Linked DNA regions of Danio rerio. The protein of the gene in region 1 interacts with the protein of each later gene in a pairwise test. Links are inferred from orthologs where the notes say so. Each region holds a gene or a part of one and is shown in the gene's direction. Other genes may lie near its edges.

What was found.
Region 2: the proteins of lzts2a (region 1) and poldip3 interact in a two-hybrid assay, tested with the Homo sapiens proteins (2 studies listed by BioGRID). The two-hybrid records come from large-scale screens. The link is inferred for Danio rerio from reciprocal best matches to the Homo sapiens genes LZTS2 and POLDIP3.
Region 3: the proteins of lzts2a (region 1) and stac interact in binary tests that used the Homo sapiens proteins (3 or more experiments, as listed by UniProt). The two-hybrid records come from large-scale screens. The link is inferred for Danio rerio from reciprocal best matches to the Homo sapiens genes LZTS2 and STAC.
Region 4: the proteins of lzts2a (region 1) and mab21l3 interact in binary tests that used the Homo sapiens proteins (3 or more experiments, as listed by UniProt). The two-hybrid records come from large-scale screens. The link is inferred for Danio rerio from reciprocal best matches to the Homo sapiens genes LZTS2 and MAB21L3.
Region 5: the proteins of lzts2a (region 1) and suv39h1b interact in binary tests that used the Homo sapiens proteins (3 or more experiments, as listed by UniProt). The two-hybrid records come from large-scale screens. The link is inferred for Danio rerio from reciprocal best matches to the Homo sapiens genes LZTS2 and SUV39H1.
Region 6: the proteins of lzts2a (region 1) and hspd1 interact in binary tests that used the Homo sapiens proteins (3 or more experiments, as listed by UniProt). The two-hybrid records come from large-scale screens. The link is inferred for Danio rerio from reciprocal best matches to the Homo sapiens genes LZTS2 and HSPD1.
Region 7: the proteins of lzts2a (region 1) and pqbp1 interact in binary tests that used the Homo sapiens proteins (3 or more experiments, as listed by UniProt). The two-hybrid records come from large-scale screens. The link is inferred for Danio rerio from reciprocal best matches to the Homo sapiens genes LZTS2 and PQBP1.

Annotation. Positions count from the first base shown.
Region 1 is NC_133188.1:20,766,707-20,770,206, reverse strand, and holds part of lzts2a (leucine zipper putative tumor suppressor 2a), read left to right. Parts: intron 1-2,425; 5' UTR 2,426-2,452; coding exon 2,453-2,962; intron 2,963-3,500. UniProt on the Homo sapiens protein: Negative regulator of katanin-mediated microtubule severing and release from the centrosome. Required for central spindle formation and the completion of cytokinesis.
Region 2 is NC_133178.1:302,981-306,440, reverse strand, and holds the end of poldip3 (polymerase delta-interacting protein 3), read left to right. Parts: intron 1-406; coding exon 407-536; intron 537-716; coding exon 717-783; intron 784-2,545; coding exon 2,546-2,771; 3' UTR 2,772-2,960; downstream 2,961-3,460. UniProt on the Homo sapiens protein: Is involved in regulation of translation. Is preferentially associated with CBC-bound spliced mRNA-protein complexes during the pioneer round of mRNA translation. Contributes to enhanced translational efficiency of spliced over nonspliced mRNAs.
Region 3 is NC_133192.1:26,131,154-26,135,332, forward strand, and holds the start of stac (SH3 and cysteine-rich domain-containing protein), read left to right. Parts: upstream 1-1,379; 5' UTR 1,380-1,594; coding exon 1,595-1,702; intron 1,703-4,179. UniProt on the Homo sapiens protein: Promotes expression of the ion channel CACNA1H at the cell membrane, and thereby contributes to the regulation of channel activity.
Region 4 is NC_133184.1:37,578,258-37,582,367, forward strand, and holds the start of mab21l3 (protein mab-21-like 3), read left to right. Parts: upstream 1-1,310; 5' UTR 1,311-1,447; coding exon 1,448-1,495; intron 1,496-2,322; coding exon 2,323-2,463; intron 2,464-2,565; coding exon 2,566-2,637; intron 2,638-3,138; coding exon 3,139-3,430; intron 3,431-4,110.
Region 5 is NC_133183.1:27,652,840-27,656,339, reverse strand, and holds part of suv39h1b (histone-lysine N-methyltransferase SUV39H1b), read left to right. Parts: exon of another isoform or gene 1-391; intron 392-498; exon of another isoform or gene 499-1,342; coding exon 1,343-1,996; intron 1,997-3,333; coding exon 3,334-3,480; intron 3,481-3,500. UniProt on the Homo sapiens protein: Histone methyltransferase that specifically trimethylates 'Lys-9' of histone H3 using monomethylated H3 'Lys-9' as substrate. Also weakly methylates histone H1 (in vitro).
Region 6 is NC_133184.1:33,966,192-33,968,525, reverse strand, and holds the end of hspd1 (60 kDa heat shock protein, mitochondrial), read left to right. Parts: intron 1-724; coding exon 725-883; 3' UTR 884-1,834; downstream 1,835-2,334. UniProt on the Homo sapiens protein: Chaperonin implicated in mitochondrial protein import and macromolecular assembly. Together with Hsp10, facilitates the correct folding of imported proteins.
Region 7 is NC_133183.1:43,445,467-43,449,497, forward strand, and holds the start of pqbp1 (polyglutamine-binding protein 1), read left to right. Parts: upstream 1-1,231; 5' UTR 1,232-1,312; intron 1,313-1,486; coding exon 1,487-1,553; intron 1,554-2,318; coding exon 2,319-2,430; intron 2,431-3,270; coding exon 3,271-3,371; intron 3,372-4,031. UniProt on the Homo sapiens protein: Intrinsically disordered protein that acts as a scaffold, and which is involved in different processes, such as pre-mRNA splicing, transcription regulation, innate immunity and neuron development.

The DNA of each region.
Region 1 (3,500 bases):
GACTGGCAGGCTCTTTGCAGATTATTCCACATGGCAAGGCTGCTCTTAGCACACAACAGCAGACTAAATATATACCCTTCAATGCCCATCTTTGAAATAAACTCTAATACACCAATTCACAAGATATGCAATGTGCTGCTAATGCTTGCTTGCCCTTTTTTTTAGAAGTTTTGTTTTATGTTATGGCCTTTAAAGTTACAGTATGTAATATTAAAACATTAATCATGTTGGTTACATGGATAATTTAAAGAGCTAGAAACCTAAAAGTTGTTTGTTCGATCCCTGCAAAGAGCGCTATCATTATTGTGCAATTTGTTTTTCAACTTGTGTGAAGTTAAGTTTGCATTGTAGATGAACTGCCACAGACTAAACGGCAAAAACATTACATTTTAAACATTTAATTTCGAACCTTCCGGTGGAGAGAGTGTTTGCTGGTGCTTGCTGGTGTTGAGGTTATGCTACAAAAAAAATATTAAAAACGAAAGAACGATAAAACACCAAAAAAGATTACCACACAGATGGAGGAGGTTGATGATATCAAGCGATCGCTGGATATGTTGACAGAAGAAGTCTCTGTTGTTAGACAACAGCAGAAGACGATCATGGGCCTGGTGGAGGAAGTGAAAGCCTTGAAACTACAAAACATTGTAAAAGAAAAGAAAATACATACATTTTTGTATGTAATGACTCAGGTAATGAAATGAGAACTATTAGTTTTATGAATATTCAGTATTCACAAGTTAAGTTAATCTTGACTGACATGACATTAACAAATAATAATGTTATAAAAGAGCAGAGAGTTATATGAAAGCAATTGATGCATGTCCAAAGGCATTTGCAATCTGTTGGAAAGAATGATAGACTGCTACTATGATGTGCACAAATGACAATTTGTTTTGAGAAATGCATTAACTGTTGTGCAAATGTAAATAGTGTTGTGAGAAATGTATCAAAGCAACTGAGAAAAACTGTAATATGGAAAACAAACTGTGGCTGGCTTTGTTGCGTCTCCTGTTTTCAAAAGAAGAGTCCTACATTAAGTACATAGTAAATGTGATATAAACTTTAATGCAGTTAAAAATAAGGGAGGGCTTTATTAAAAGGCTTCCTTCTAGTGGAATTTCTGAATAACTAAAGTAAAAAAATGAACATACTTTAACCCTTTAATGCGTACGATAACACCAATGTGATCAGTAAATTTTTTTTAAAAGGCTGAACCTTTCATTTTATTTTCAATTTTCTAATGTTAGTTATGTAATCTCCTCCACATATTTGTAACGGTTGTTGGGGGCGTATTTCGTATTTTTATATCCCAATGTTGACAGGTATGGTTTAATCACTTGCTTTTATGACACACAAAGCCTACTCTAACGCACAGTAAGCAGATTTAATTTCTAATTTAAATATGTAAATCCAATTCCTTTATTTAAAATATAAGTTAATGTTTAAATTTCAAAGATATACAAATAATTTATATATACATTCAACATATATTTCAAAATGTATCAAAAAGAGTTCATATATGAATATTATGACATATAGCTTATATTTATGAGGTCCAAGGAACATTACCAGGTTTTGATGGATAGGCTACTTTTTGTTAATGCTTTTAAGTACAGCTGTTTACTTTTTAAGAACAGTGCCACATATTGATTTAAACTGTGACTCTTTATTTCTTTTTAATTGTAAGCACAGTACAATCTTAATGTTCAAACTATTTATAATGTTTAAAGTGGCTGACAATAATAAATATTCATAATAAGAAGACTTAATCTGCCACGCTTTTGCACTGTGCAGTGATGTAGCTGCTTAATAAAGCCTACTGCGCTACTGTATTTTAATACTGGTCATTATGGTGGTGCTTGGAGAGACACATTTTTCCTGAGGTGGTATTTGGTGAAAAAAGTTTGAGAACCACTGAGCTAACCCAATGTAATTGTATGTTGTTTGGCTGATTACAATCCACATGAAACACCGACAACTTCATTTTTGAAAAATACATGTAAACAGTTTATGCACACTTGATCAACATTTTGCCCTCCATCCTGTAGTTGCTAAAATTGTTGAATGCTACACAAAAAAAAAAAAGTTTTGACCATCTTGTCACTGTAAAGCATTGCAAATTAAGAATATTACATTAGGTGAAAATACACTTCTCTATGGCTAGTTCCTAGAACAGAGTTCTGTAACTACCTGTTGAAAAAAGCCCATCGAGATACAAAGATTTTTTTTTTTTGAAAAGCAACCTGTGGCTATACTCTGAGTACAATGAGAAATTTAAGCTGTGACATCAACATGTTCATGTGTTTTAAAATGATGAAGCTAGTGTAATTATGACCAACAGAATAATCTATTTTACAGGATAAATGACATCCATGCCAATTACAAAATCTTTATTCCTTGTCCACTGTTTTTCTCTCTACAGAGTGTGTGTCCTGGTCGGGTGTTCACCATGGCTCTAGTTCAGGCACTGCCTGTACCCACTGATCACCCAAAGCCCAGTACTGACGTCCAGCAGTGCTGCTCAGTGTCTCACTCCCCCACAGTAGATGTCACTGGCACCATGGGTTCTGTCAGCAGCCTCATCTCTGGACGTACCTACCAGGAACGCCACTGTCGAGCCGCCAGTGACTTTGGTGCCAGATATCGCAAACCCACACCAGCTACAAGCTGTTTTCGACAACAAGAGGGCACACTGCGCAGCTCCAGCTCACAGGAGCAGCTTCTGAACAGTCAGCCTCCTCTACCCGCTAAGAACAAGTCTTCTGCCCTCATCTCGGCTGGCAATGGCAACTATGGCTATTTGAGTGATGAGCCAGTGGGTGATTGGAATGATAATCACGTGAGCACATGCAGCCCATCCAGTGACACTGAAGAACCTTCTGATAACAGAGGCATGAATGGTAACATCGGTGGACCTCCGCCAAAACTCGTCCCAGTGTCAGGCAGGTTGGAAAAGGTAAGTCTTGGAGTTGATCAGTTGACATTTGAAAACAAAAATAATACAATAAATTGTAAATTAGTGACAATGTATTTAAAAAAAAATTAAGATATAAAGTGAACCAAAATGCAGTAACCAAGAATACAATCAGGCAGGGTTTGTAAAGTTATTTCTAGAAGTATACATGATTTTTTAATTGATATCATGCAGATATTTTTCAAAAGAGACTTACTGTAAAAAACTGTTTTAGTTAATTTAACAGTGTTTAAACCCTGGACATTTCTTAAAGCATTTTCTTTCTAATGTGACCCACTGTTTCGTTGTTGAGGTGTCATTTAATTGTTTTAGTATAAAGAATGGCGGCTGACAATTCACACATCTATTCAGCTTTTCCTTTCCAATGAAGAAGGAGAGCATTTAAATACTGCAAAACGTCAATATGCCATCACTCACCATACACATTTAATCAATGATACCTCATTACACTTACAACACTAAAAGATGGTGTTCTTGGAGGTTTAATGCATTTAATATTTTTAAGATACACATGTGAAATGGC
Region 2 (3,460 bases), on another chromosome or scaffold:
TGAGTTCCTGTGTGCTGTTCATACACTCCTTACACACACACACACACACACACACACACACACACACACACTACGCAACTTGTGTAGCAACTGACTAAACAGATAGGTGTTTCCTCTAGTGAGAGTGTGTCTGAGCCTCTATCAGGAGTCTATTCCAGAGTTCAGGAGCCATACATGAGGAGACTCGACCTCCTTTAGTGGACTCTGCTGTTCAGAAGTCCTGAGTTTAGAGCTCTTGAAGAGCGGGTTGGGCTGTAGCGGGACAGAAGCTGGGTCAGATGAACAGGAGCTGGGTTACTTACAGCCTTATAGGGAGAAAGCAAGAGTTGATCTACACTGACCTCTCTCCTCTCTCTCTCTCTCTCTCTCTGTGTGTGTGTGTGTGTGTGTGTGTGTGTGTGTGCAGGAGCTGTTCTGTGTGTGTGGCGCACTCAAGCGGGCACGGCTGGCCAAAGTGGGCGTGGCTGAGGTGGTGTTTGTGCGCAAGGAGGATGCAGTCAGTGCCTACAGGAAGTACAACAACCGCTGTCTGGACGGTGAGACACACACACACACACACACACACACACACACACACACACACACACACACCATCATTGCATCATTAATGTCTGTAAGTCTCTGCTGGCAGAAGCTCAGTAACGCTCTGTCTGTGTGTGTGTGTGTGTGTGTGTGTGTGTGTGTGTGTGTGTGTGTGTGTGTGCGTGTGTGCACAGGTCAGCCGATGAAGTGTAATCTGCACATGCAGGGCAGCGTGATCACGTCTGACCAGCCCATCCTACTGTAAGACCCTCTCTACTACACACACACACACCTGTCTACTACACACACACACCTGCACTATTCTTCCTCCTCCAAGACGTTTTGTCGCGAGTGTTGAACAAGCGGCTGATTCCTCCGTCAGGGCTGAGATCTTTCATTAACGTTTGCATTGTACTCAAGCGGCAGGAGGAGTGTGTGTGTGTGTGTGTGTGTGTGTGTGTGTGTGTGAGGAGATGACGCATGACATGAGATCTCTGTCAGTGTTCAGGCCAGGTTTGATCAGGTGCTGTTCTCCTGATGTGGTATTGGACATGCAGCTGCGGGTGAAGCTCTGCTGAGGGTCTGTGCTGCACATCTCCCCTCACTGGACAACACCGTGTACTGACTCCTGCAGACTTTATATCAGAGGAACTCTCGTATTTTAGCGCAGTGACACCAGAAGAGATGTTAGAATGTGTCTCGTGCGTCAACACTGAATCTCTTCTTTAATCTGTGTATTCTTGTGTTTGCTGATATTAAATTGTGTTTGTATTGTTGAAATGTTCCTGCCATGATGATAGCCTTATATGCTGACATGGCATTAAAGAACATTACATTACATTACATTACAGTCTTCCTCCTCCTCTTCCTCCTTCTCCATTTCCTCTTCCTCCTTCTATTTCTCCTTCTATTCCTCCTCTGCCCCCTTCTCCTCTTCCCCCTCGTCCTCCTCTTCCTCCTTTTTCCTTTTCCTTCACTTTCACTTTTCACATCCTCCTCCTCTCCTCTTTTTTTTCACATTCTCTTTCTCTTCATCCTCCTCATCACCTCCTTTTCCTCCCTCTCTTCTCCTTTTTCTTTCTTCTACTCTTCCTTCTGTTCTTCCTGCTCTTCCTCATCCTCCCCTATTCCTCCTTCTCCTCCCCTTGCTCCTCCTCCTTTTGCTCCTCCTCCACTTCCTCCTCCTGTTCCTCCTTCTCCTCCTCCTCCCTTTGCTCCTCCTCCTTTTGCTCCTCCTCCTGTTCCTCCTTCTCCTCCTCCTCCCCTTGCTCCTCCTCCTTTTGCTCCTCCTCCACTTCCCCCTCCTGCTCCTCCTTCTCCTCCTCCTCCCTTTGCTCCTCCTCCTTTTGCTCCTCCTCCACTTCCTCCTCCTGTTACTCCTCCTCTTCCTCCTGTTCCTCATCCTTCCTCTTCCTCCTCCCCCTGTTCTTCCTCTTCCTCCTCCTTCTGTTTCTCCTTCTCCTCCTCCCCGTTCCTCCTCCTCTTCCTGTTCCTTCTCCTGCTCTTCCTCCTCCTTATCCTTTTTTTCCTCCTTCACTTTCTCTTTCACCTCCTCCTCCTCATCCTGTTCCTCCTCCCTCTGTTCCTCATCTTTGTCCTCCTCTTCCTGTTCATTCTCCTCCATCTCCTTTTCCTCCTCCGTATCCTCTTCTTTCTCCACTTACTCTTCCTCCTCCTCTTCTTCCTCTTCTTTTTCCTTTTCCTCCACTTTCTCCTCCTCCATCTACTTTTTCCACATTCTTTTCCTCTTCCTTCTGTTACTCCTCCTTTCTCCTCCTCCTTCTCGTCCTCTTTCTCCTCCTGTTCCTCTTTTTCTTTATGTTCCTCCTCATCCCCTGTTTCTCCTTCTCTTCTGCCTTCTCTTCTTTTACTTTTCCTCCACTTACTACTCCTCTTTCTCCTCCTCCTCCTCTTCTTCTTCCTCATGTTCCTCCTTCTCTTCCTCTTCCTCCTGTTCCTCCTCCTTCTCTTCCTTCTCCTCCTCCACCTCCTCCTCTGATGTCCTCCATCTTGTGTCCTGCAGGAGGTTGAGTGATACTCCTGGTTCTCCGCTGTCCGCACAGAAGGCCTCCTCCTCTTCCTCCTCCCGCTCCTCCAAGTCCTCGTCTGCAGCTGAGGTGGACCCGCAGACCATCTTGAAGGCGCTCTTCAAGTCTTCCTCCTCCTCCTCCTCTTCCTCCAGCCAGACGGCCAGCAGTGCCAGCGAGACACCGGCCGCTCACGCCACCGCTTTCCGCATCAAGATCTGACACACACGCACACACACACACACACACACACACACACACACACAGACACACAGACACACAGAGGCGGTGTGTGTGCTTTTGTGAGCTGTGCTGGTCAGCTGCGCCTCCTCATGTTTGTTTTAATGATTGTTTGACTGTTCTGTGACTCCAGCTTTCTGTTTTCTCCAGTAAAGTCTTTCTTTATAATCAGCCGCGCCTCTGCTGCATTACTCTCCTCCTCCATCACTGTTAGCATTAGCGCTAACGTCATGCTTCTGCTCCTCGAGGAGCTGATCACACTCCGCACAGTGCTCTTGAGTTTCTGACACTCCCACTGCAGTGTGCTGATGCTCTTATAAGCTGAATATTGATCAGGGGGCGGGACTTCAGTGTCATAACCTCATAGCTAACTAACAGCAAGAGGGGCGGGACTAAGAATAATGTGTCTGAAACTCAAGCTGATGTCATCAGAGAAGGAGCCAATCCCAATGCAGGAGCTGAGACTGCAGATTAACTGGACACGGTTTACTCAGGATTCATTTACTACTACAGATCATTCATGCAGCTTAGTCCTTTATTCATCAGGGGTCACCACTGCGGAATGAACCACCAACTATTCCAGCATAAGTTTTACACAGTGGATGCCCTTCCAGCTGCAACCCAGTACTAGGAAACACCCATACACCCTCATTCACACACACACACTACGG
Region 3 (4,179 bases), on another chromosome or scaffold:
TGCTTTGAGTTTTATGATTACCACCTTGCAGAAGTACCACTTTTTTATGTTTGCAGCTTAATAAGCAAAAAACGCAGTTTGTTGCATTGCTCAGTGAGCAATAACTGTCTCAAACAACTGTATATTTAACTGATGAAATATGCTTAAAATAGTTAAAATAAAACTCAAAAACCTCAAAATGAATCATACGTAAGCATACATGATATTACCAGACCTTTGAGTTTAAGTTAAATAAAAATACAAATTCATTTCAACTTTTATTTAAAATTATGTTGGACCAACTTAATTTCACTTAATTGTGTAAATAGATTTTTCTTGGTGCTAAACAAATTTACTAGATGGAAATCCTGCCCTCAATTAAATTAAGCTTTTGTCTGTGCGTGTGTGTGTGTGTGTGTGTGTGTGTGTGTGTGTGTGTGTGTGTGTGTGTGTGTGTGTGTGTGTGTGTGTGTGTGTGTGTGTGTTTGTGTTTGTGTTTGTGTTTGTGTGTGTGTGTGTGTGTGTGTGTGTGTGTGTGTGTGTGTGTGTTTGTGTGTGTAATTGGGAAAGCTAATGTCACCAGTTTAATGGCAAAGTATGAGTGATAACATTGACACTTTTTATGGACACACATTTCTATAAAAAACATATGCTAAAGAATTGAAATAAATTAGGTATGTTGTGGCTTTTATAATAAATCAAATAATAATACGCCAAGAGAAATGAGCAATACAGTTGCTGTATGTGTTACAAATTGATAACAGAGTTGTATATAATGAAAAACATATACTGACAAATATATATATAAACATGATTTTTAAGCTATATAAGACAATTTTGGTAAATAATATTATTTGTTATAGCCTGTAACATAAACACTGTAAAAAATCCTGGTTGAATCAGATTAAACCTATGAGTCCATTGAACTCATATAATGTTAAACTGACTTAAAACAGCTTTCGTAACTCATAAAATTAAGTTAGAACATGATTCACTTAGTTTAATAAGTTACAATGACATAAAAACATATGCTGTTACACATATACTTACACATAAATTTGAATGTTAAAATACTTTTTGTTTTGAAAGGTCTAATTATTTAGACCTAATTGGGAAACCATTAAATTAAACTAGGTTAAAAAATCAACCCAATACTTGAGAGAAAAATGAAAAGAAGGAAAGAAAGATGTTAACATTATTTGTATTATTAAATATTATTACTTTTTATAATCACTAATACTTTATTGTTGAATGTGAATAAGATTAGAGACACGTCTGCTCACTAAAAAATAAAGCAACGGAATCCATCAAAGCTGAACTCCTCCTTTAGCGGGAGTTGATTGGCTGATCCACAGGCTGACAGTCAGATCCAGTCAGTCTGCTGGACGGACGACGATCCTGACTAATGAAGAGAGCAGATCTGGAACGGACTGTGCGTCTCCACTATGCAATGAACAAACCGATGGAAAGTCGATAGGCGAGTGCGACTGTGTGCATTCAGACCCGTTATCCTCAGCGCGTTCGCCAGTTCAGAACTTCCAGCTCAACTCAACATGTAAAGTGCGACTGGCACCAGACGTACCCGACAGATTGGTGCTGTTGAACTGTTATCGGCATGATTCCGCCAGCAAACATGATTCAGGAGGACACGATGGGCAAGGAGAACGAGCGGGACCACCGGGAGCCTCAGTCCCCCTCATCCATCAGCCAGCAGGAGTCAAAGGTTGGAGAAACACACACCTCAGAAACCGACAATTATGTGTGCGGTTTACACTTTATTATTAGAGAGAGCGAGGGTTTTGGCGTTTTGTGAAACTTTGATTTAATGGTTCATAGTTTTACTTGTCTGCTTTATATTAAAGTGGTTATATGTCACTTATACTCGTGTAAACTACATTACGTCAAATGTAAAGAGTAACGTTTGTGTTGTAAATCTTGTGACACTGTAACGTACTGTGTTACTGAAAACATGGCCGTTTAAAATCCATGGCAAGCTAAGGATTTACTTTATGAAATAATTACTCCACACATTAAACAACAACACTCAAGTTTTATTTTATATACTTTAATGTAATATGTTTAATTTAATATGTAGGCCTAACATTTTAACCAACATTTAGTATAAAAATAGTTAACTAATTAGTAAACAATAGCATATTGAACCACCAATACACTAAATTAACCATCGTTTTACTACAAAAACATGTTTTTTCTTCGTAGTTAATCAATGGTAACGCCAAATTAACAATCGTTTTGCTACACTAATGAGTTTAACCATGATAAAACTGTGGCCGTACAAGTAAATACACAAAAAAACATGGTTAATGCACTTTCAATATATGCAATAGATCATAGCTCATGATTCAAGGGTAATTAACACACAAAAGGCTTTCACACAATGGAGCTGTTTCAGATTTGGTTCATGATACCAGTTCTGCTATAAAAATGATCGCAGGTCACATGTCAAAACATAGATACAATTTTAACTTCCTACCCCACAAATTAGGGCTGCACAGTATATCGGTTCAACATCGATATTGCAATGTAATTGCATAAGTCACATCGCAGGATCTGCAAGTTCAGCTTCAGTTGATTCATCCCTCACAAAATTTGAGTGGAATTATAGCTGACCAAGAACTATATTTTTAGTGATTATAATAGAGTGAAAGAGTGCTTGTTTGATTTGTTTAGAGGCCTTTAAGTAATTATAACAATGAAGATATATTGCATTAACTTTTATAAATTGACGACTATGCAGTTTTATTTGCTTACATTTGATTATTTAGCTTATACTCGAATATAGTTAGACTCCACAAAAAATGCAACAAAATTTAAGCAGGTTATCTGGCCTACGAGATCATCTCAGTTAATATAAACGTTTGAGTTATTTCCAAATTGAGCTATTCAAGTAATCTGGTGAAATTAATATTATAAATATTGTAGAAAATCAAAATGTCGCAATGTCAAATTTTTCCAATATCGTGCAGCCCTACCACAAATAGTTTTCTGATTGCCTTGTGAATAATTTTTTTCCCACAAAGGAATTTTTATTTTAACTGCAAATTTTACCCCAGTTTTGTTATTTCTAATTCATTATGCAATACAAAACTCTTTAACTCAATTTCAAGCGTTCATTTGTCCTGTGAAATACTGAATTAAAGTGATTGATGATAGTTTTAGTATTAAGAATATGTTGATTTATGTTTACAAATAACACTGTTTAATCATCTGAGCAATTATAGTTCAGATACTACTCCTATACTGGCAGTAATATCATTTGATTGATATTGTCTGCGTGCAGTCGGGCTCATGTGAGAGTATAAGTTATATTTCATTTCGCTAGGGGAAAATTGTGCTGCATCTGTATTTGTTGCAGTGATATTTAGTTTCTGCTCAACCTTGGTGTATGATTTGTTGTGTCTGATTTAGGAGTTTGTAGTGGGTGGCGTTTTGTCACATTGGTGCTGAGTTTGAGCTCATCTGTTTTTCTGGGTCATCAGTGGCCCTGAGTTCCACATTCAGCCCAGAAATGTTGGACGGGTCACTGTGCTTTTAGAGCTCAATGCCAGTTGGGAATTTTGCATATTTATTGTCACTGAGTCAGTAGAGATTGGGTGCTGAAAGGCAGTAGTGCTTTATTTATTTATGCAGTTGTTCAGAAAACTGATTCATTATTTACATTTACATTGTGTCATTCTCCTTCTCCCCATGGAATATGTGATGCTTCAGTCAAATTAATAAAATATTTGTATGAAAAGAAAAAATATATATACAATTGCCATATGGAGTTAAATGTTGACTTGATCAGAAGTGTCGTGAGGAGGGATTTGTGTGTAATTGAGAGCTGTTATTTTGAGCATTAGGAGCACTAATATTATTTATCAGAAGTGCTAGAATCAGATTATTAGGTTTGAGTTGTTTTTAAAAAGAAGAGTTCTTTTTAAAGAAACAAAATCCACATTATATTTGATTTATGAGCTTTCATATAAGTTATTTTGGACCGTTCCATTGCAGAACACTCCTGAGAATATGCCTAATAAGGATGAAGTAGTCTCCTAAGAAAGATTATGACTCATTAGTTGTTAATGGATGACTTTTGATTCACAATAAAAAAATATATATATATTAATATTTTAATTTCCTGAGCTGGTTGTGCTCCACAGAATTTCCAAGAAGCAAAAGGGGATGAAACCATCACTA
Region 4 (4,110 bases), on another chromosome or scaffold:
AAAATATGTATTGATTGGTTTGTTAAATGACTGTGTGTTTTGTTGCCTTGTTGCCTGATCTTGTTACACACGCTGCAATCTTTAAGGAATAGCTCAGCCAAAAGTTACAATTTTGTCATCATTTACTCATATTTACTAGTTCCAAACCAAAGGTTTCTTTCTTCTGTTAAACACAAAATAAGATATTCTGTTACTTCATTAGTTATTTTTGTTTTCCTACTATAGGAGTCAACGTGTGCCAGCAACCAACATTCTTCAAAATATCTTCTTGGTCAACAGAAAATAATCTCATAAAACCACAGGGGAGGGAGAGTAAAGGGTGAGGTAATTTTCATTTTTGGGTGAACTACCCCTTTAATGTCTCACAGTAAATTCCATAATAATATATTTTTTATTATTTTGTTATACAACCTTCAAACTCTATTAAGTGTTTATAATTCTCTGCCTACAATAAAACATTACCGTATTTTCCATTATTGACAAAACATTTCCTTTATTTAATAATTAGTTCATTCATTCAATCAGACATTTCTTTATTGATTATGACTATACTGTGCTGTAAGTTCCACTTCCAATACCTATATAACATTTAGTTTGTTTATTTATTTAGACATTTGTTCACTTTATCTTCACCACAGACAGTCAATGTATGTTAAAGGCTGTAGTGCAAGTGATTGTGACAGGGTTTTTTTCATATCATCATCACCTGATCTGTACTGAATTGAACCATGTAAGGTCATCCAATTCATCCACAATTGGTATAGTGGTCAATGAGTTTTTGACTTAGGCTACAGAGGGCTCCAAACTGAAAAATTAAGCCGGCAAGTTATTGTATATTATTTTTAAGCATTTGATTATTTCTTAATATTTGATTTGTCCCACAGTTGCTCTCATTGTTGATATATATTGTTTACAATACATGCATATTTTTGTTCATGTTATTTTAGTATGTGAAGTATGAGAATCCAGAGGCTTGGTGTAGTTTTACATTATATAGCCTTTATAATGGCCTCTTTTTAATGCTTTTTTTTTTTTGTTAAATTTAGCATACTTTAATTCAATAAATTCCAACTCACGTAAGTTGATAAACAACATTAACAACAACAATTGTGATCCAGTTGCGTGTTTATAATCAGCATATGGCGCAGTCTGCTGGATTAAAACCAAATGTTTATATTCAAATGAGTGTGATCGGTCATGTGAGTAAGCAATTGGTGAACTAATTTGCCCAGAGGAACATACAAGCTTTTTAGCATCTCGGGAATCAATATTGTGAAATCAATGGCTCTGCTGAAGTGCTTTTCCCTTGTGCGATTTGTGTTGCACGTACACAGGGACACAAAAGAATTGCAAAAAAGGCCACAAAGACACAACATTAAGCTCTGCTGCTGAAAAGAAGACTTAAAATAGCATCTGAAAAGAGCTTATTGTAAGCGTAGACTACAACATGACCAACTGCACAGATGAAGATCTGGATAACTATTTGCTAAATCAGGTGACCTACTTATGCTGTCATTGGTTTTATTGAGCACCGAGATCTAAACTAAACTGTTAATGTGTTATTAGTTTTTATTATAACCATTTCATTTGGTGTTTTAATTAAACAATAATAATTTTAGATGGCTTATTTTTAGAGTTTTTAAAAATTATTTTATTCAGTGTTTGTTCTGCTCTAATCGAATGTGTTATTGTCTTGTTTTTAGCTTAAATGTTTTATATGCGAATATGCTGTACTACTCACAATCTTTACATCTTACCATAGTCTTCATAATTGACATGTTTGTTAGTTTTTTTTGTTGTTGTTATTTACTTAAATATCTATTTGTTGTTAGACTATCCAGTTTTTCTTAACACAGGCTGCATAGCATTTATTTATTTGTTTATTTTTTATTTATTATTTATTAATTTAATTAATTTATTTTATTTATTTATTCAATTATTTATTTGTAGTCAGATGAAAATATGTTTAATTCTTTATTCTTTTTATTCCTCATTTCTTGTTTTATTTTATTTTTGTATGGTAATAAAATATTTTTATTTTATTTTATTTGTAGTTGCATAACTTGTTTTATTTTATTTTATTTTGTTTATTATGCTGTCTTAGTGGTGTAATGTTTTTATTTCTTGTTTATTTTCTTTATTTTTTATTTAAAATTTGTGTTAATAAAATAAAAATAATAAACAAATAGCTAGAGGATTTCTTTTTATTTAGTTTCATTTTATTTGAGTTTAGTGTAGTATTTCAGATAGATTCAATAAAAATAAAAAAAACATTCCTTTTTTGGTTTATTCTGCTGTTTCTGATGTTAAATGTATCGTCAGGTGGATCTCAGACATCGGCAGGTTTCAAAGTGTGTCGAAGATGTGCAGAAAATCATCAAAGATCTTACTACGGAGGTCAGCTCAAAAGACGCTCGCTTCCAGTCCATCGCAAATGCTGGAGTTCATAACGCCAGCCTCAAAGTAATGCTTCACATAGGCCTCATCTATATAAAAAATACTAACTGCATTATAATGCTGGATTTATAACATCATGTTTTTTCTTGTGTCCACAATCTAATTCAGGACCAGCCTGCTTTAATGTCAAAATGGTCTGCATTACTCAGAGGGAGATGTGCATACAACCCTGCCATACAAGTAAGCAGTAGTATTTATTAAAAAGGTATAGATCAACCCCAACATTTAAATTCTATAATTAAAATTACTAGGTAAGTCAATGGGGAGCTGAACCAATTTTGGCACCATTATCATTGGACATTCTTTAAAATATCTTCTTTAATGTACCGCAGAAGAATGAAGGACATACAGGTTTGAAACAAGTAAATGGTGTCAAAATTGTACTTTTCCTATTTACTGTTGTAAACTTTAACTGGTGTTATTATGTAACATGCATGCAGCTACAAATACTTTTGCTGCGGTACTTTTGCAGCATTTACATAGGCCAGAGTGCACTGTTTGATTCAGATCTATATTCTAAAGGTTTTTACAGTGGCACCCCAGGTCTAGAAAATTATATTTTAATATTTTTGGACTAGACAAAAGACAAAAAGTCAGAGTAAGAAAAGCTTATATTATACAGTAGATAAACAGAATAGATGTACTGATTAGTTTGATGTTTTTTTTGGGTGACTTGTGCAGGTCCTCTCTCCAACCCTGTACCTGATCTCAGTGCCTCTGCAGGGCCTGATGGGCTATAAAGAGAGACGGACACGTCAGTGGCGTTATTATACACTGACTGGCTCTCGTCTCCTCTCACCTGTTCGTGAGCCGGAGAAGCTCCACCAATGGCTTGAGCTGGAGAGTTTTGTCAACCCGAGTCAGGAGTGGCACGATGCCCGCATGACCATCGAAGGTGACATTGTGCCAGCCAAGGTGGTGAACGTCTTCAAAGATCTTCTGGAGACGTCTATAAAGACCCGCGGACTGACAAGTTAGAGTTTTAATATTTGTTTAATCTGTGTGTAAATGCTGGTGAATAATGAAAAATCTCTATACACTAATGATATTCTAGTCACAAACAGAATATTAATATGCTTGATTTAATTTGATGTCTCGATATATGTTCTGTTGATAACTGGATAACAGATTTATTTATTTATTAACCTTTTATTTTTGTTTTGTTATCCTCTTATAATATCTTTTCATATTATAGATTCCATAAGTAGCACAACATTTAATCTTCTGTTTGTTTTATACACCATATACACCATATACAGTTGAAGTCAGAATTATTAGCCCCCCTGAATTATTAGCGCCCCTGTTTATTTTTTTCCCCAATTTCTGTTTAATGGAGAGAAGATTGTTTCAGCACATTTCTAAGCATAATAGTTTTAAAAACTTATTTCTAATAACTGATTTATTTTATCTTTGCCATGATGACAGTAAATAATATTTTACTAGATATTTTTTAAGACCCTTCTATACAGCTTAAAGTGACATTTAAAGGCTTAACTAGGGTAATAAGGTGAACTAGGCAGGTTAGGGGAATTAGGCAAGTTATTGTATAACGGTGGTTTGTTCTGTAGATTATCGAGAAAAAAAAATTGCTTAAAGGGGCTAATAATCTTGTCTCATAAATTGTGTTAAAAAAATTAATAACTGCTTTTATTC
Region 5 (3,500 bases), on another chromosome or scaffold:
CAAAATACAAAACAATTTTTTTTGAAGGATATGGTAATTGCAATTTGATTAACGGTTTAATTTGTAGTCAAGCTTTAGCTCAATAATCTGTAAGCCGTGGCAACAATGCTGTGACAGGCAACATTCTGCGCTGTCTATGACTTTGAAACCAAAATATTCCCATATTACAAGTGCTATTTTTCTTTGATAGTAATTCGTCTATCAATGCTTCTGAAGCAGGAGATGCCATAATGCCACTTGTCAGCAATTTCCTGTTTGTTTTCTTTTTTTTTTATTTTATTGTGGCCATAGTTCGGTTGCGAAATTTAATTTTGATTGGGCAGAACGAAAGTGTGCTCACTCAATTGGCTAGTAAGACAACAAGAGTAACTGTGGATGCAAAGGTAAGCTGGCTGAAAGGGATGTCTGGGTGCTAGGGCTGTGCTAGTAATCGAAATCGCAATTAGTAATGGTAACGTTTCAAATTGTGATTCGATTTCGATAATCGCACAGCCCTAGCAAACAGACATGCCTTTCAGACAGACATTATCTGACATTATCCGGGATGCTGTAGCTCTTGACACATCACAAAGACTTGTTGTGTGCATTGCGATATTTAAAGCAAAACTGTGCTATTACTCCAATCAAACCATCACACTCTGCTCTTACTGGTGGAATATGCAATCAATGAACATTGGCCACAAGGCTGATCTAATTTAGCCATGAAACCTCCAACACCAATTTGGCCAGTGTTTCATTGTCCATCCCCTGTATCTAGCAATTGTAAATATTTGTATAATGTTTTTTTTGCAATGAGTATATATCTCTCATTTCACTCTTAATATCTATTGAACTTGTATAATTTAAGATATAAATATGTGAGTGTGAACTTTGTAACAGCATTGTGTGTGACTCACCAAAGAGCTTAAATTAACTCCACAACAAATCACACATCAAATAATCATTGCGAGGTTTTTTTTGTAATATTTCTCACAAACATTCCGCGAGATCTGCTTCCTTCTTGTCTGTCGCTGTGCCCTGTGTCCGATGCAGCTGAAGCGGAGATTGAGGCACACTCTGACAAGCACGTGGGAGCGGTGGGTGGGGAGAACTAGCATTAAAGGTACAGGCAACAAAAACAGCTACATTATGTTCAGAGCAAAAAATTCCAGTATTCTAAAATGTATAATAAATAATCTGACGAGTGTTTTGAGCTGAAGCTTTACAGACACATTCTGGAGACACAAACTACTTCTCTTAAATCTTGAAATGGCGGTAAAATTTGTGCAATTTAAACAGTAAAAATACTTAAAACAAAACTGTATCCTACTTTCTCTTCCATGTTTTTCCCTCTCTGTCCCAGGAGTTATACCTGGTGAAATGGAAAGGCTACCCAGAATCCAGAAACACATGGGAACCACGGAGGAACCTGAGGTGCGTCAACCTGCTCTCTCAGTTCTGGGAGGATCTGAATGCAGAGATGCAGAGACAGAATAAACGTTCTGCCCCTCGTCGTCTAGACCCCGCCACTGTAACACACCTCACTCAGCGAGCGAAACTCCGGCAGACCCTCAAACAATGGGAGACTCACCTCAACAGCCTGGGCACCCATAAGGGCTACATCTCTGTCCGCAACCAGGTGGATCTGGAGGGTCCACCCAAAAGCTTCACCTACATTAATGACTATAAAGTTGGAGATGGGATCCTGCTGAACGAGGTGTCCGTGGGCTGTGAGTGCACAGACTGTTTGGCCAGCCCTGTGGAGGGTTGCTGTGCCGGAGCGTCCCAGCATAAGTTTGCATACAATGAGTTGGGTCAGGTCCGCATTCGGCCTGGGTTGCCCATTTATGAATGCAACAAGAGGTGCCGCTGTGGGCCTGACTGTTCCAACAGAGTGGTGCAGAGGGGCATCCGGTATTCGCTCTGCATTTTCAGGACGGACAATGGCAGGGGATGGGGAGTGCGGACCATGGAGCGAATTCGCAAGAACACTTTCGTCATGGAGTATGTCGGCGAGGTGAGAGGGATTGAGTTGGGTTGTTAGTTGTAGTCTGGATTAGATGCATGTAAACATTCTATTATTTTTATTTAAGGCCTGTAACTAACGATTAGTTGATAATCCGTAAATCTGTTGATTTATTTTTTCTATTCACTAGATTAAAACATAATTATTTGAACGGTGAAATTTTATTATTGATTTTACCAATTAGGTTGTTTGTTATATTTATTTCTGATTATTTATGCTATTAGTTTGGGGATTGGTTTAAAGTTCCTAATTTCAGCAAAAAGTAACACTTAAAAAAAAAAAACATAATTCTAATTAATTAACAGGGTTTCCGCAGGGTATTAAAATGTCTTCAATCTCTAAAGCTATATTTTAGGCCTTACAAAGTCTTAAATCTACTGAAATGTTGTGTTGCAGGATCTTTTTTAACAGGTCTTAATTTTCCTTTGTTCATGTATCTGACCATTACACCCATACATTCACCGGCAATCCCAATCTCAATAAAACTTTTAACTTTTTATTTAAAAAGAGCAACTAATTACATTCCTCACACTAGCATTTGCTTTAAAGTTCTCCATTTGTTTGCTGCTGAGGATACAATATTTATTTTTTTATTATTATTTGTTATTGTAGACTGAAGCAATTGACAGCTTAGCTATGCTTTGTTCTATTCTTGGTAAGGGTTATAGTTTGTAAATGGATATATTTGAAAATTAATAAAAAAATATAAAATAAATGTATAATAACTAAATTATTATTGTATTATTGAATGTATTGAGTTTTAATAATTTTTAGATAGAGCAAGTGAAAATCTTTTCTAAACGGGATATTTAAAAAAATCCTTTGCAATTAGCCCTGTATGAATCTACAATTTTATTCATAATGGTCTAAAAATGGTGGTGAAACCTGCAGAAACCCTGATCTAATTATGTTATTATATAATAATTATAATGCAACTATTTTTAAATGTTAAATGCCAAATAAAGTGTTATTCAGCTGTTATTTTTTTCACTTAATTGGATAAATTCATTAAAAATAATGTTATTAAAGTTAGCTGATGTTTTCTATACACAGCACACAGTTGATCAATAATTTGTCGATTAATATTGTAGTTATTTACATTTTATTGTATTTAATTTTTGTATTTCAACTCTTCTTCAGTTGAACATTGTCGTTGCTGCCCTGTTATCACCAGGACATGTTGTTCTTCACTAGTAGATAATGGCATTGTCTAGCAGCTATCTAACAGTTTAGTTTCCGTCTGATAGCTGTGGCTGTGTTTGGCTGTCTATCAAAGAAGCAAGTTTTGTAGTTGTTAAATTTTCTTCTTTTTCCCTGTTTTGCTTTAGATCATCACAACAGAAGAAGCAGAACGCCGAGGTCATGTATACGATAAAGAGGGCGCCACTTACCTGTTTGACCTGGATTATGTGGACGATGAGTATACCGTGGATGCTGCTCATTATGGAAACATTTCCCACTTCGTCAACCACAGCGTGAGTTGATCAGCTTCAAA
Region 6 (2,334 bases), on another chromosome or scaffold:
TTAATGGAATAATTAGAGTTAAATTTGTTAGTTCTGCTTATATTTTGATATTTAGTTTGATATTCTTTTGTAAAAAAAAAAATGTAATCTTTAGTAAAACCGTTAAAAAGAATAACATTTTAATAATTTATATTTAGTTTAACTAATGTTGTCTTTGCTAATTAAATGCAATTGGATTTGCTATCAAAAAGACGTTAAGGCAACCTCAAATAAAGAAAAACCTATATTGAATGTCATTTGTGCCATTACAATTTTAAATACTGGATTTTACGTTTGAATATGCTTAATTGCATTTTTAATCTGATGTTATTGAATGCATTTGTGATTGTTTTTTTGTGATATGTGATCTAAATATTGATCTAATTTATGTGGTGAAGCCAAATTGTGTATTTTTGGACACGTTTTAGGTTATGATTTTACATAAAATTTGTGTTTGTATGTATGCATCCATACATACACCCCCCACAAATCTCTCATTTAAATGTAATCTTTTCTATAGGATGCTTTACAATATTATCTTTGTGCATATACATTAGATTAGTCAGTACTGAAGCCAAATCTGGAGCCAATCTAACAAAATCACCTATGATAACGGTCCAAAAACTAGTACACTCAAATTTATTTTAGGGAAAAATGTTAAAAACTGTCAAAAATAGCAAACAGCAATTGCTCTTTCATCAGCCTGTACAGAATGTGGGTTTATGGTGTTTGTCTCCCTCTGCAGGTGGTGAGGACGGCACTGCTAGATGCTGCAGGTGTTGCATCTCTCTTGTCCACCGCTGAAGCTGTCGTCACCGAGATCCCCAAGGAGGAGAAGGAAATGCCAGCTGGAGGAATGGGAGGCATGGGTGGAATGGGAGGAATGGGCGGCATGGGCTTCTAAACTGAAATCTGCACTGACTTTAGTAGAAGGGTTGTGGGCAGGGGACATGATTTGCCCCTTCCCTTCAGCTTGGGAAAAAAAAACCTGCCGTGCTGGTGGTCTGAAAATGGAGCAAAAGAAATGGACCTTACGGTCTTTCATCCTTCCACCCACCACTATGTCCAATTTTCTATCTCTACTCGTGGCTGAAGACGATGTCAACCTACTGCTTTAAAGATAAAGCTCCTGATCACGTGACCAGAGAGGGTCTGAACGCCTTCAGTTTGCATCATCAGCGTCTAATGGGAAAAGTGCATTTAACATTTTGCTGTTGTATGAATGTCATTGTGCATATGACTGGTTCTGAATAAGTCCATCTGAAGGGGCTTTAAAAGCCAGACGTTCATGTTAAAATGTGGTAGGAACATTGACCAGTTGTATCTATATAAAAAAGAAAAAAAAAGCAAATTCCACTTGATCAGTTCTTGTTTTGTAAACTGTCTGTCTGTTTCATATAAAAATAAAACCCTCGTTTGAGGATTACACAACTTTGACAAAGCATGTGCTTGTTTTGCCTTTCAAATGTTACTTTTAGTTTTCTACATGAAATGGGAATCATTTGATATCTGGTTTAAGGGGCCGTTCTTTCAGTCTTCATCTTCAGTCGCATCTTTCAGTCAAGATTAGAGATTGGTTGAGTGGAGGGAAGGGTGATCTTGTTGCACAGCAGATTTAAACAATATACTGAGTACATGAAAACAACTGGTGTGAAGTATGAATAACTCTTAAGTAGTGCAACAGAATAGTGTTACAAAAATTGCTGTTTGTCATGAGAATTACTTGTTTGATTTGATTTGATTTTTTTTTTTAAGCTACAACGATGATCATTGACTTTTTTTTTTTTTCCTTTTGTACAATGTAGTCATTAATTCTGTATTTTTTATTTAATAAAATTTAACATTCAAAGAGAAATTAGTTATTGTCTTTGTGATGCATTAAAAAATATTACGTGCAGAATGGATCAGTTTAATACAAAGCCCAGGCTGTCATGCCACACATCACACTTACCCTGTGAATGTAGTATATGTAAGCATAGGAGTTGTTTATTGTTGTTGTTGTTGGACCGGCCAGGGAATTATTATCAGCACAAGTACACCACACTCTTCCACCCACCTCCCGATCCTTTTCTCTCCCATCTCTTGAGGGAGAGAAAAAATAATAATAATAATAAAATGAACAAATAAATTTGAGAGACAGAAAAAGAGAAAGAATAGTACAAAAAGAGATGTAAAGACCGAATTATAATGTGGGAAAGTATTAATAAAATTTCTACTAAATAGTTTTTATTTATTTTTAATTAGATTAAATATCAGAGACAGTTTTTTAGCTCTCCCTGACCCCCTCTCCCCTCATGTTTACGTTCTGATGAAGGTGTTTTTGGGTAGTGGTTTCAGGCAAGGGAGACATCTTCA
Region 7 (4,031 bases), on another chromosome or scaffold:
GTTAGTACTTGGATGGGAGACCGCCTGGGAATACCAGGTGCTGTAAGCTTTTGCTTTTGTCAGCTAATACACTTCCCAATGTCTCCGTTTTAGTGCTTGTATATTTAATACAATTTGACTGCTTTGTTACCTACATTTAGTTTTCTTCGTGGTAGCTTACTGCTTTCAGAGCGGCAAAGGGACAGCTCAGCTGCGCCATTCTGTCTTTCTCCTCCAGAGGGCGACTGAGAAGCTTTTCAATTCAATAGTTGCTTTATTGGCATGACAAATGTTACAAATGTTTTGCCAAAGCATTTATAAAGTTTACATTACAGATAAGAAAAACATACATATATAATAAAGACACAGTAAATATATTAGTATATATATATATATATATATATATATATATATATATATATATATATATATATATATATATATATACACATATATATATATATACATATATATATATATATATATATATATATATATATATATATATATATATATATATATATATATATATATATATATATATATATACACACACACACACACACACACACACATAACAAAAATATAAATAATATATCATATTATTGAATATATCATATATTATTATTTACTTCTCTCTCTCAATTCAATTCAATAATTACTTTATTGGCATGGCAAATGTTACAGATGCATTGCCAAAGCAGTTCTAAAGTTTAAATATAACGTAACATACATATAAACACAGTGCATAGTAGTAGTAAAAATATGATATTTATATATAGTAATTAAATAAAACCATATGTTATTCAATATATCATAACATTATTCAATATATCGCATTAACATTCAATAGATCATGTTATTTTCAACATATCATATTATTCATAAAAATCAACACAAAAATAATTGATCAGAATAAACTGTACATTTAACAGTAATAAAAAACAATAGTAATCAGTATCTTTCTCTCTCTACTCTTGTAAAATAAGTATTGCCAGATATTGCAAGGTAATATTACAGTTATTTTACCTCACGTGTATGGTCTTCTAATATGCCTTCTTGGTTACATGCATAAGTTAGATGTAGATTAAATATTGAATATTTTTAAGTCCTGTATTTTGTCTGTTTTATTTCACAAAAAATATACAATGTATGGCAATAATAATAGGTTTTGACATCAAAAGTGAAAGAAAGGAGAATCATTTCGAAGCGTTTTGTTCGTAGTAATCCTAGGAGACGTCACGGCAACGTCATCATTACGCGCCCAGTTCGCTGCTTTGCCTCTTTTCAATGAAACTGTGGTCAAATAACTAAATATTTGGACATCGGAAAGGTAAATAATGCTACATTCGTCATTTATTTCATAATACAATTGCACACAGAATAATATGTATATTACATGCATATAAAACATGCACCCTGTGAGCAGTTTTTACATTGTGGCTAGTTCGAGTTTCTCGTGGCTCGTCAACACTGATCACTGAGATGTTTTGCTTTTCTTTTTTAGATGCCTTTGCCTCCTGCTTTACTTGCACGACTCGCTAAAAGAGGGATCGTGAAACAGTCCGACCACGGTAACATAACTATGCTTGTTTAAAGAGACAGTTTACCCAAAAATGATAACTCTGTCATCATTTACTCACTCTTTACTTGTTTCAAACATTTATGAGTTTCTTTCTTCTGTTGAACTCAAAAGAATATATTTCGAAGAATGCTGAAACTAGTAACCATTGACTTCAATAGTAGGAAAAGCAAATACTTTGGAAGTCAGTGGTTACTGGTTTTCATTTTTCTTAAAATATAGTTATGACTGATACTGAAAACCAATGACTTTCATAGTATTTGTCAAGTCAATTGAGGTAATGTTGATTTTATATTCGCACATTCTTTCAGTGACAACTTGTGACACATTCTCTATATTGTTTACCACACTATTTTGTGTATTCGGTCTGAAATCGCATGCAAGTATAGCACTATTTGTAACAATGTTTTACTTTTGATAGTCATTGGCTGCTAGTATGATTTCACCATTTAAAATTTACAAAGAATATATTTCTAAAATTACGTTATTATGGAGAAAGTCTGAATGTGCAAATTTAAAACCAACTTTAACCCAATTGGAAGTCAGTGGTTAAAGGTTTGCATAATTTTTTGAAATATGTTCTTTTGTGTTTAACATAAGGAAAAAACTCATCATGGTTTGAAACAAGTTAAGGGGGAGTAAATGATGACAGAATATTTTTGGTGAACTATCACTTTTAGTCAATAGGCAATTAATAAAGTGTAATTTGGTGATTCCACTCTCTAATATACTGCATTTTATAATTTTTTATCTTCAGAAGCAGAGGAGGAGATTATTGCTGAAGACTATGATGATAACAACGTGGATTATGAAGCTACACGGATTGAAAGTTTACCATCGAATTGGTACAAAGTTTTTGATTCAGCCTGGTAAGCATTTCATGTTTCAACCTTTATTTTATTTTCCAGTTTTATGAGCTGAGTTTTGCTGAATAATATAAATTTTCCTAATGCTACATTGCAAACCTTTAATAAGATAAAAAGCAGTGCATATATTTAGGTCTAATCTATAAATATTGCTGTAGTAATGGGCTCTTAGATGACTCTAAAAATATCAGTGGTAAAATATTTTTTGGTAAAAAATACAGCATTATAGATGTGACAAAGCTAAGAAGGTCTGAATGCACAGAATATTTGTTAATATTTGTCTTAATCAATAAAACTTCCTGATTCTGAAATTTGAAAATATAACTGAATGAAAGAAAATCGTTTGAAGGATTTTATGATTACCACAAAATTAATTGTCATTGCATGGAATAAATGTATAAAATATAATGTAAATCATAAGTACATATTAATTACAAAGCTGTGATGAATGGGTTTATTACCCTGAATGACATTCTAAAAATATTTCACCCTTATTTTGACATGCTTTTTAAATGTTATTTTAAAGTAGACAAATGTATTAGCTTTCATAGTATGCTATATATATATATATATATATATATATATATATATATATATATATATATATATATATATATATATATATATACACATATACAACTTGTAAATGTAATTTGATACAGGCACTAAAATGAAATGACTTTGAATAACTACCATATCCATGTTAATCCTACATGCTAATCCTAAAATCCTACAAAAAACATAGTCATATCATGATAAATGCCCCAAATTTCAGATTGAAGCTCATTACATATAAATAATTCTTTACATGAAATAAGCCTTATATGTAATTTTTGTCCTCAGTGGGCTTCCTTACTACTGGAATGTAGAGACAGATTTGGTGTCCTGGTTGTCCCCTAATGACCCTGCAGCTGTCATCACCAAAGCTGCCAAGAAACCGAAAGGTAAGACACAAGGCATGGAACAGTATGTAACATAGATACTCTCATTACATCTCAATTTGCATACCTCAAACAAAAAATGAGTATGTTCAAAATTGTAGTGTGTTTAAATGAGTAGGCTATTCCAAAGTTGTCTAGAAGGGCTATTATTTTCTGTAGAACTGCAACCACTGATAAAAAGCGTTAAAAACTATAAACATGGTGGATGCACAAGACCAACATTTAAGTGGGGGAGACTTAGGTAATGGGGTTTAAATGGGTTGCTGCTTGAAGGGATACATCTGCAGCTGGAAGTTAACAAGAATTATTTATATTATTAAATGACCCATTAATTGTATGTTGTTATTGTCTACCCAACCCTAAACCTAACTCTCACCATAATGTAAAAACTGTCATTGTAATGAGAATTATTTATGTGATTTGTTTAATTACTCATTAAATTGTGTTTTATTAAAGTCTACCCCAACCCTAAACCTACCCTTCGCAGTAATGTAAGAGTATAAATTATTGTTGTAGTGTCACAAAGATGATGCTATATTTATGTGAATATATGCAGCTGCATCCCTTCTAGACTTTACCGTTCAAATCAGTTTAAAAAAAAAGTTTAGTTTTATACTTGTTTTATTTCATCTGCATCAGCATTGTGAACTTTTATAAAGTTTT